Linked DNA regions of Drosophila melanogaster. The protein of the gene in region 1 interacts with the protein of each later gene in a pairwise test. Each region holds a gene or a part of one and is shown in the gene's direction. Other genes may lie near its edges.

Region 1 (5,530 bases):
GCGGCAAGCGCTTCCCCATCAATAGTGTGCTGCGCGACCATCTGCTGCGCCATGCGGGCATCAAGAACCATGTGTGCCCGTACTGCGGAGTGGGCAAGACGACGCGCCAGGAGTGGAACAAGCACATCCTTACCCACACGAAGGAGAAGAAGTACGAGTGCCGGCAGTGCGACCACGCCTCCCACAACAAACAGGCGCTGGCCAACCACGTGAAGGTGGTGCACGAGAAGCGCAAGGACTTTGCCTGCCAGTACTGCGGAAAGACCTTTGGCAAGTCGCACGCCTGCAAGATTCACGAGAGAAGTCATACCGGCGAAAAGTGCTGCGAGTGCAAGATCTGCGGCAAGGTGTTCCTCTTCGAGAAGGGCCTAACCAAGCATTTGAAGACGCACGAGAAGCGTGATTTGCCCAAGACGCAGGGGACCAATGCCTTAATGGGCGACGGGGCCAGTGGATCCTCGACAATAGCCAAGCCCAGTCCGCACCTGCGTGGTCGCGTCGAGCGGGTGGACATTGCTCAGTTGGCGGGAACGGTGGCCAATCCAATTCCATCGGTCAACCTGCCCTCGTGGTCGCCGCAAGTGAACTTCACCAAGAAGGAGGGCCAGCATATCTGCCCGGACTGCGGCAAGGGCTTCAATCACGTGAGCAACATGAAGCTGCACTACAAGGTGGTGCATCAAAAGGTCAAAGACTTCTGCTGCCGCTTCTGCCCGAAGAGATTCGCCAAGAAGCAGTACCTGCGGCACCACGAGTACATACACACTGGCGAAAAGCCTTACGAGTGCAAGGTGTGCGGCAAGCATTTCCGGCAGGAGCAGGTGCTCAAGACGCATATGAAGGTGCACGACAAGCCGCCCCGTCCGCCTGGCAAGCCCAAGGAGCCGGCTGGACCCAAGGCGGAGTCCAGCACCGCGGTGAAGCGCCAGCAGCCGAAGAATTTCGAGCAATACCAGGATCCGGCGGCGGAAAGGGCAGCGGCCACCGCCGAGCTGCTGGCCTACCAGATCGAGGAGAACGAGGCCAAGCGCAAGGCGGAGGCGGAGCTCCGGAAGATCCAGGAGGCTGCCTTCGAGCAGCTAAACAAGCTGCAGAAGCAGTCGAACACTTACGACGGCTTCTACGCGCAGAAGGCGGAGGCGGAGGGCACCTCAGTGGACGCACTGAAGTTGGATCATGTTTGAGCGGCAGAATCAAACGGAAATGCTTGCGAGCAAACCCGGCCTCCGTTTCCGATCATTTCATTATGTGTTTCTATGAAGGACATATGAGTTATAGTTCTCTAAGGATTACCAACTAGTTTTCGTCACTTTGCAATTTGATCTTTTTTGTATTTAAATCCCCCCTTTAAACTGCTTAAGTTTGTACTTTACTAATTGTATTCATTTAACAATGATTTAATATAATAAACAGTAATAAGTATTGAACATTTGAATTTTAAATTCGCCCCAGTGCTGGTAAGCGGGTATTGTTGGTAAACAAGACAGAGGTGAGCTGTAATGCTGCCAACTCGTCTGTTTTTTAGCTACATTCCACTAGCTATGCAACTTATATGAGACACATATAAAACTACGTATTTAATTTAGGTTAATACATACATTTATTAAGAATCACACTTAAAATGGCACATATTTTTTAAAACATTTGAAATTTGTTATTGATGCTATCCATATTTCTAGCCGGTTTAATAATTTAGCTATTAAATAACTGTTTGTACTTGGCATCACTGTGGGGTATTTTTTGGTATTTGTTTTGGTTCGTCTGACGCGTAAAGTTTTTCTCGGCTTAATATTCCGCGGATTTGGCCAGCAGATTCCCCCTGGAACAGGCATCATGCAGGAGGAGGCCGAGGCAGCCCAGTACTCGGTGCACGCGGTGTGCCGCATCTGCCTGAATCGCCTGCCGGAGAATGGCGGCGGCGCAGGATCCTTTGACCTGTTCCTGATACCCGGATTGGCCAAGAAACTGTGTGTCTGCACTTCGCTGGCCGTGGAGCAGTCGGATGGCTTCCCCAAGTGTCTGTGCGCGCAATGCTTCAGCCGGCTGGACGATATGCACGAGTTCCAAAAGCTGTGCGTGGACTCGGTGCAAAAGTTCCAGGACATGGTGGCCAGGAACGTCTTTTGCCCGCCAGCGAGTGCGCAGATGAAAAACTTTGATTTGCTCAACGTGGCGGGGAACGAGCCTGAGCTGGTGGGGCAGGACGAGGAGGATCGTATCAACTTCGATCCGCTACTGGATCACAAAATGGAGATGATCGAGAACGAGGAGGATGTGTTCAAGATGTTGGAGCACGTGGACAAGGAGGCCGAGCAGGTGGAGAAGGAAGTGAAGCAAGATGAATTGGACGCCGCCGATCTGATGACCATCTTTGCCGCGGAATCCTCGGAGGAGAGCGAAGAAGATATTGACCAAGATGTGGACTTTGAGCCCAACAGTAGCGATGGTGACGATGATGTGCCTTTGGCCCAGCGCTTACGGGATAATTCGCGGATGATACCAAAAGCAAAGGCAGCCGTAATTAAGGAAGAGGACCAAGAGTTCCCAACAGGCTCCGAAGAGGAGGACGAGGACGGAGAAAAGTCAAAGAGTCGACGCAAGAGGATTCCGCCTGGCGAACGGCACCTGCACCGCATCATTGACTGCCACATTTGTCACCAAAAGTTCAAGAAGGCCATCCGCTACGAAGAGCACATGAAGCACCACAACGACCTGCTGCCCTTCCAGTGCAAAGTGGAAACCTGCAGGAAAGGTGTGTAATGATGGCTCCAAATCGCATTCTCGTTTTGATCACTGGCATTTACAGGTTTCACCACCGCTGGAGGATTACGACTTCACATCGACCACGCCCACACGGAGCTATCCGAGGTGCACTCCTGCAATGTCGATGGCTGCGGCAAGACCTTTCCGCGCATACGCCTGCTCACCTTTCACATGAAGAAGATGCACGGCATCACCAAGGCAGCGGCGCCCCCACGGGATTACCCTTGCACCGAGTGCGAGAAGGTATTCCGCTGTCCCATGGCGCTCAAGAAGCACATGTACAAGCACGACGGCAAGGAGTTGCCTTTCCCCTGTAACATCTGTGGCAAAAGGTTCGTAATCAATAGTGCTCTAAAGGATCATCTGATGCGGCATGCGGGCATTAAGAACTACGTGTGTCCGTACTGTGGCGTGGGAAAAACCACCAGGCAGGAATGGAACACACACATACTGACGCATACCCAGGAGAAGAAGTTCAAGTGCCACATATGCGAGCACGCATCGCACAATAAGCAGAGCCTGGCCAACCACATTAAGATCGTGCACGAGAAGATCAAAAACTATGCGTGTCAATACTGTGGAAAGACCTTTGGCAAGTCACACGCCTGCAAGATCCACGAGATGACGCACACGGGGGAAAAGCGCTGTGAGTGCAAGGTAAGGGTAGAAAGATATTTTAAGCCAGCGTCGTCATTGCAACGTTTTGTTTTTAATATTCTTAGGTTTGTGGAAAGAAGTTTCTCTATCCTAAGAGTCTGACCAAGCACTTGAAGACTCATGAGAAGCGTGTGCTTCGTGCTATTGAGACCTACCGCCAGCGGCAGGTGGAAATGGGCGAGACGCCTGGTGAACAGTTCGACAATCCACCCGCGCCACCAGTTGAGGGCATATCCATTGAGCCGATCATGTCCCGAAACGCTGCCGACGAATTGCTTAAGGTGTGCGCCGAATCCGTGGCCACCATTCCCAAAGATCCACGCCGTGTACAACGAGTGGATCTGGCGCAGTTGGCTGGCACTGCTGTGAACCCCATACCCTCTGTTTCAGTGCCGTCGTGGTCGCCGCAGGTGAACTTTACCAAGAAGGAGGGCAAACATATCTGCCCCGGTTGTGGTCAGGGATTCAACAATATCGGAAACATGAAGCGGCACTATAAGATCATCCACGAAAAGGTCAAAGATTTTGCCTGCCGCTTTTGCCCCAAAAGATTCGCAAAGGCTCAAACGTTGAGGCATCACGAGTGGATTCATACGGGCGAGAAACCCTTTGAGTGCAAGACCTGCGGCACCCATTTCCGCCAGGAGACGGCGCTGAAGCGCCACCAGCGCACCCACGAGAACCGTCCACCCGTCATTTCGCCCAAGTTTTATGCCGCTCGCGAGGAGCTGGAAGAGCAGGAACGCAGCAAGCGAGAGGCGAAGCGCCAGGCGGATGCGAAGCGGCGCGAAATTGCGGAGGCGGCCAAGGAGCAGCTATCGTCGCTGCACAAGCTTGAAAGTAGTGACCGCAGCCTGCACTCCTACGATGAGTACCAGGAGGCAGCGGCGGAGCGAGCAGCGGCATCCGCTGAACTCCAGGCGCAGCAGTTTGAAGAGAACGAAGTAAAGCGACTGGCGGAGGAGGAGCGCCGCAAGGTTCAGGAGGCTGCCTACGAGCAACTGCAACTGTTGCAGCATCAGCAGGAGGTTGACAAGGCGCAAAGCTCCTACGATGGCTACTACGCTCAAAAAGCACATGCCGATGGCACCACTTTGGATGCTTTAAAAATCGATCATGTCTGAGATTTGGCCAGCGTTTAACGCTGTCACAGATGGTAAATCAATCCTGGGTTTTTTTTATGAAAAGCAATACCTTATAATCCTTATGAGAACAGTGTGTGTAAGATGGATATGATATAGTTTTAAGCTGAAAATATTCTTTAATACTATTTAATATAATGTCCTTAACTGTAGTACAAATAATACTGTACATTATTCAGGAGAACACAGAATACCTATGTGAATTCGACTTAAGTTTAATGATTCTGGTCTGAATGGAGAGGTTGCATGTCAAATATCATCTTTTCAATAGATGAATTGATTGTGGCAGTTATATATTTATATATAAAGATTGTTTATAAGTAGCTTAAAAAATAAATTTGCCCTATTAAGAGCTTAAATCTAATCGGAATTTTTTGTTTTAAATTCATAAGTTTTACTCCTCCTTGAGTATGAATAGCTTCTTAAGGCTGTCTAGTGTCATGTTCTCCAGATCCCAGTGGGTCGACAGCGTAGTCGTGTCATCGGCTGAAGTAATTAGCGATAGAATATTCTCCTCAATCGTTTCATTCACAATGAAACGATGCACCTTCGTGGGTCTAAAAACAATTGTATTGAAACTGACAGCAACTTCACTTCAATAGCGCGCACTCACCTCTTTTGCCCAAATCGGTGAATACGACCTATGGCCTGGCGCTCGTCTCCCGGATTTAGAATGGGTTCGACGAGGAAAACATGTGTGGCTTCGATCAGGTTCAAACCCTTTGAGCCTTTGGACAGTGGCATTAGTAGACAGGTAACATTGCTCAACGGATTCTAAAGGAGGAAAAATGTTTAGCAGTGATAAATTAAATTTAACAGCAAGATAAAAACCTTGAAATCATCAAAGTCCTTATTTGTGCACTTATTGCGGAATTGAATGCCGTTGAGACTGAGCGCTCTGGCAATTTCAATGAGAATCGCCTGCCATTGAGAGAATACAATAATCTTTTCCTGTTCATTTTCACCCT
Region 2 (4,745 bases), on another chromosome or scaffold:
TTTATGTAGCTATTCCTTATTTAGACAGGGCTTCAATAGGATCAATTGGATGAATTAACCAATCATTTAGTTTAAGGGTATGACAATATCTTAATCTTTAAGGTTTAAGAGAAAGAGATAATCGTACATTGAAAACCATTAGGTTCGATAAAAGGGACCAGATTACAGCATCCCCGCTAACTAACTTTATGGTTCATTAAACTTTAGTTTCATTAAGTTCATTTAAGTTCATTATTATTGAATGAGGTTACACTACAACCCTATATTTCACTTATAAAACATAAATTAGAGAGATATTCACTATGAAGTCTATGATGTTATATGTATGTACATATGTAACTCCCACTCACCGCAGACATCCAGCCATCCTTCGATTCTGCTGGGGTAGGAAATCGTTGAGGACCGGCTTAAATACGTTCGACGTCCCATTTTGTGGGGGTGGTAATTTTGTGGATTTGGTTTGGGTGGATGCTGTGTTCTCACTCTCTCGGCTTTTCTCTCGCGCGCTCTCTGTCGAGCGCTCTTCTCCCCTTTTTGGCTCTCGCACTTATCGTTTAGCTTATCGACTCGGCTCGTTGAGTTGTTGTTGTTGGTGCTGCTGCTTAATTTGAATATTGATTTTGTTTGTTCTTGCTGTTGTTGTTGTTGTTATGGTTTTTATTGCACTTGTGCCTTATGGCGATTTTGGGGGTTATTGTAAAACAAAAGATTAAAGCAAGATTTGTGGCAATTTCAAGAGCAGGTTGCCGCCGCCTTTGTTGTAGTTATTGTTATTATTTGATTTTTAACGATTTCGTTTCCAATTCCACTCTTTGTTTTAATCACCATATTTCCTCTCTCGCTACACCTGATTTTCGATGTTTTTGGCGTTTTTCGCTGTTTTTTCGCCGTAACAGCTGAGTGGCATTTTTGCGGCTCCTCTTTTCGTTTATATTTTCGGTTTCTTCTTTAGTTATTCATGTTTTTTGTTGTTGTTAACACCAGAAACCAGTAAAGAAACTTTATTTTGCACCTTACATACGCGTGTGTGTGTGCGTGCGCGTATATTTAATTCTGGTGTTTTGTATTATTTTTAAATCACGAACTCCGCCAAGCATGTGTATATTTCGGTTTTTTTATGTTTGTGTGCGTGTGTGCCCGATCCAGAATATTAACGGAGTTGTTGTTGCTGTCGCTTTGTGTTTTTTGGATGTGACACCCTCCCACACCGCACGCGAAAAAATAAAACAAAAAATTTTAAAAAACCCGCGGTCTGGATTTTCACACACGTCCGCTTTCGAATCGCCGCGCTTGTGTGCGATTCCACTGGTGTTTCTCCACAGACTGCCGCCTCTCTGCACTCCTCTTCTTTATCGCATCTCTGCTTTGGCACGGCTTTCGCGCCAATTGTTGGTGTGAAAATAATACCAACGAAATGCGGTACTTCTGTGTCGGTTGCTGTCTGGGTAACACGCACCTGTATGGGTTCGCGTCTTGGCTAAGTGTCATATATTTAATTTAAAGCTTAACGGTACAAAACGACCGGTATTAACATGGAAAATAGTGTTGCTAACTTTTATATATTAAAAACGGATATTTGTTGGCCTTGTATTAGGTACTCCATCCAATTTCGTTGCCAACATTATGGAACTGGATTCTATTTCTTATAATTCGTAGTTAATTGGAATTTATAAGGAGCAATTTGAATGCCAACGACTAAATATTTAGTACTGCACGCCGGTCCACTATTCAGTGTGACCAGTCGCACAGCGCCCTAGAACAGCAGGCGTGTGTTTTGTTTTTCAGTTACTTCAGACGGAAGTTTATAAGCTATTACTTAGTAGAGTTTGAGTGCTCTACAAGGCAGTAACAAGAACATTGCGCTTAGCATCTATTTTGCGATTAATTCCAGTCAAAAGAGACGCCACGGTCACTCTATCGCCTAGGACCAAACACAACACCAACACTGTTGCATTCCATTTACAGTTTAAACGGTGTTTTGTGCGCGTCGCTTTAATTTTGGTTTAATTGAATTTTACTATTGCTGCGATGGACACGCCACGCCGCAAGCTAAGAAATTTGCACCTGGAGAATGTCCAGAACAGCAGCACTCCCATCAACGTGCCGCCATCGCCGATGATGAAGACCCTGGGCCACGGCACTGGGATCCGGGTCTACCGCTTGGACCGCTCGCCTCGTCTCGGCGAAATCCGCTCGCCCTGGGCCGTCAAGCGGATCACGCAGAACATGCGGGTCAAGAAGGATACACTCTTCAACGAGCGAATTGTTCACGAGGCCGATATCCTGCGGTAGGCTCATCCAAATCCAGAAGCCCAATCAAATTGGCAGTATGTGTCGGTGTCCTGCGTGTGGGTGCATGTGTTTGTGCGTGTGCGGATGCTGAATGTGCGTGTGTGCTAGGGTGATCCGATATGTGGGTCAGCAATTCATTAGGGTGGCCCACAGCTGAGCAGCTGCAGTCCATGCTCGCTAAAATACCCCATTGTAATCTAGGCTCACTTCGAATTGAATAGATCATCCTTAAATTCCAGCTTAAAATGTTATTTTGCATATATCCCATCTTTTAAACAAAAGAATCTTTATTAGATTACAAAAATTATAGCATTACCAAACAAAATATTCCAAGTAAGATCCTAAGTCATCGCACTTCAGCCGGGAAACTCAATACTAGTAAATAAAGCTATTATTAGATGTACATAGTTTTTGCTTCCAATGCATCGAGTTACCTACAGGTGACTGCGTAAAATGTGCATTTTTTATACACACTACGCAGGATTGCTGTAATAATTGCCCCCTATAAACAGCACCTTTTGACTTTACAGCAAACTGAAGCATCCAAACATCGTGGGATTCCGTGGCGTTATCACCAATGACGAGGGCATCAACACACTGGCACTTGAAATGTGCACCACTTCACTGGGCTCCATACTCGAGGAGCGACACGACGAGGATCTGGGCCCGTTGCCGGCCAAACATACCTATAAGATGATCATGGACGTGGCCCAGGCACTAGACTTTCTTCACAACGAAGCTCACCTCATGCACGGCGACCTTAAGTCCTTTAATGTCCTGGTCAAAGGCGAGTTTGAGATTTGTAAGCTGTGCGATTTTGGAGTCTCTCTTCCGCTGGACGAGCAGGGCGAGGTTAATTTCCTAAAGAATCCCGGACTGCGCTATGTGGGTGAGTTTACTGACCCCATATGATATAAATAATTTCACATTCAGTCAAATTAACCACTTATGTCTTAATATTTTAGGAACTAACCTCTGGTGCGCACCGGAGGTCATAGACGAAGTGGATGTTATTGACAGCAAGGCAGACATATTCAGCTTTGGCCTGGTTATCTACGAAACCCTTGCTTTGGTGCCTCCACATACCTTGGAGCTTGATGCAGCACTGGGAGAGGATATGGACAGTTCGCACGATTTACCCACCGACACGGACAAGCTGCAGTGCAAACAGTTGGACTTCTCCAGCGATGAAAACAAGAACGGACTACCTTCTGCAATGGAAGAACACACAGACAACGATATGAGTCAAGATTATGACGAGGAGGATGATGAGGAGGAGAAGGAAGAGGAGGAGGAAGACGATGAAGAAGATGATGACACGAAGGAGAACGATATCTCTTACTTTACACTGAATAACCTTCATTCCGCCTATGGTACACGACCACCATTGCCAGTGGCCTTTCAACTTAGCGACGATTACAACTGCGTCGTGGAGCTGTTTTATCTGTGCACAAATGCTCTCAGCGAGGATCGTCCAGCGGCCAAGACCATTTGGCAGTGCCTGGAGAACAATGGCGCAAATGTTGCGACAGAAAGCGATTAGACTGATAATCATTCTCAGCCTCCGAACTCCACAATCTTCCTCTTGAATATAATTTGATTAGATGACTCATTTTTGTTTTGAATGTACAATTAATTAGCTATAATTTTTACCCTGTAAGAACAAACCAATTACGGTTAAAGCCCCAAAACGCGAATGCACACTTAAGCAAATTGTACATATTCAGCAAGCAAAAGAGTGGTCGAATAAATCGAATCCCCAAATGGAACAAAAACTATATCGTTAACTGGTTTTTTAATTCGCAGTCTTCAAAAGGGTATATGTAAGATCTTTTTTGATTAAGGCCCGGCTAATGTATTTAAATTGATTTTTGTAAGCTAAAAATAAGTGAAAGCAATTCAGTTGAATTGAAAAGTATTGCTTACAGAGGGAAACAATTTTTTCGTTTATAAATGCAGGAACCGAATATCATTTTTAACTTTTTTGTATACTTTAACGCCTCGAATTGGTTGTGATATAAACAATAAACTTACATTGTTTTGCTATAGCCTCCCAGGAAAAAACCAATTACACACCAGATCGGTTACAAGTTCTCTTAGGTTTATTAAAAAATAATAATACATACATCAAAATATAAGGTTTTCTTTCGTGATTTGCTTTTCGGTCTTTTCAGTTGCTTAGCGGGAATACACATTAGCTTTTGTATATATATATATATACATGCGTTTGCTTGGAAATCGGGATATTCTGGCGACTTTTGTTCGATGTAAGTTCAGATTTCTCGATAATGCAAGGGTATATGTGAAATGGGTATATGAGGGGAGTGGTTGGGCGGCGATACGCATTTAGTTATAGTTTCAGATTCGCTGCTGTCTATCCTAGATCTTGCTATCTACCCAGGGTACACGTTCGTATGGGGTTAGTTATGCCCGTTGCGACCCATAAATATTAA

What was found. Proteins that work in one complex are often made in the same cells at the same time.
Region 2: the proteins of CG10274 (region 1) and CG8173 interact in a two-hybrid assay, tested with the Drosophila melanogaster proteins (one large-scale study listed by BioGRID).

The regions. Positions count from the first base shown.
Region 1 is NT_037436.4:6,178,071-6,183,600, reverse strand, and holds CG10274 (uncharacterized protein), read left to right. Parts: upstream 1-1,771; 5' UTR 1,772-1,833; coding exon 1,834-2,752; intron 2,753-2,806; coding exon 2,807-3,420; intron 3,421-3,485; coding exon 3,486-4,544; 3' UTR 4,545-4,924; downstream 4,925-5,530. Other genes in the region: D19B, read left to right, coding at 1-1,184; CG7376 (uncharacterized protein), read right to left, coding at 4,957-5,119, 5,176-5,336, 5,394-5,530.
Region 2 is NC_004354.4:17,706,725-17,711,469, reverse strand, and holds CG8173 (uncharacterized protein), read left to right. Parts: upstream 1-1,816; 5' UTR 1,817-2,028; coding exon 2,029-2,288; intron 2,289-2,822; coding exon 2,823-3,181; intron 3,182-3,257; coding exon 3,258-3,835; 3' UTR 3,836-4,069; downstream 4,070-4,745.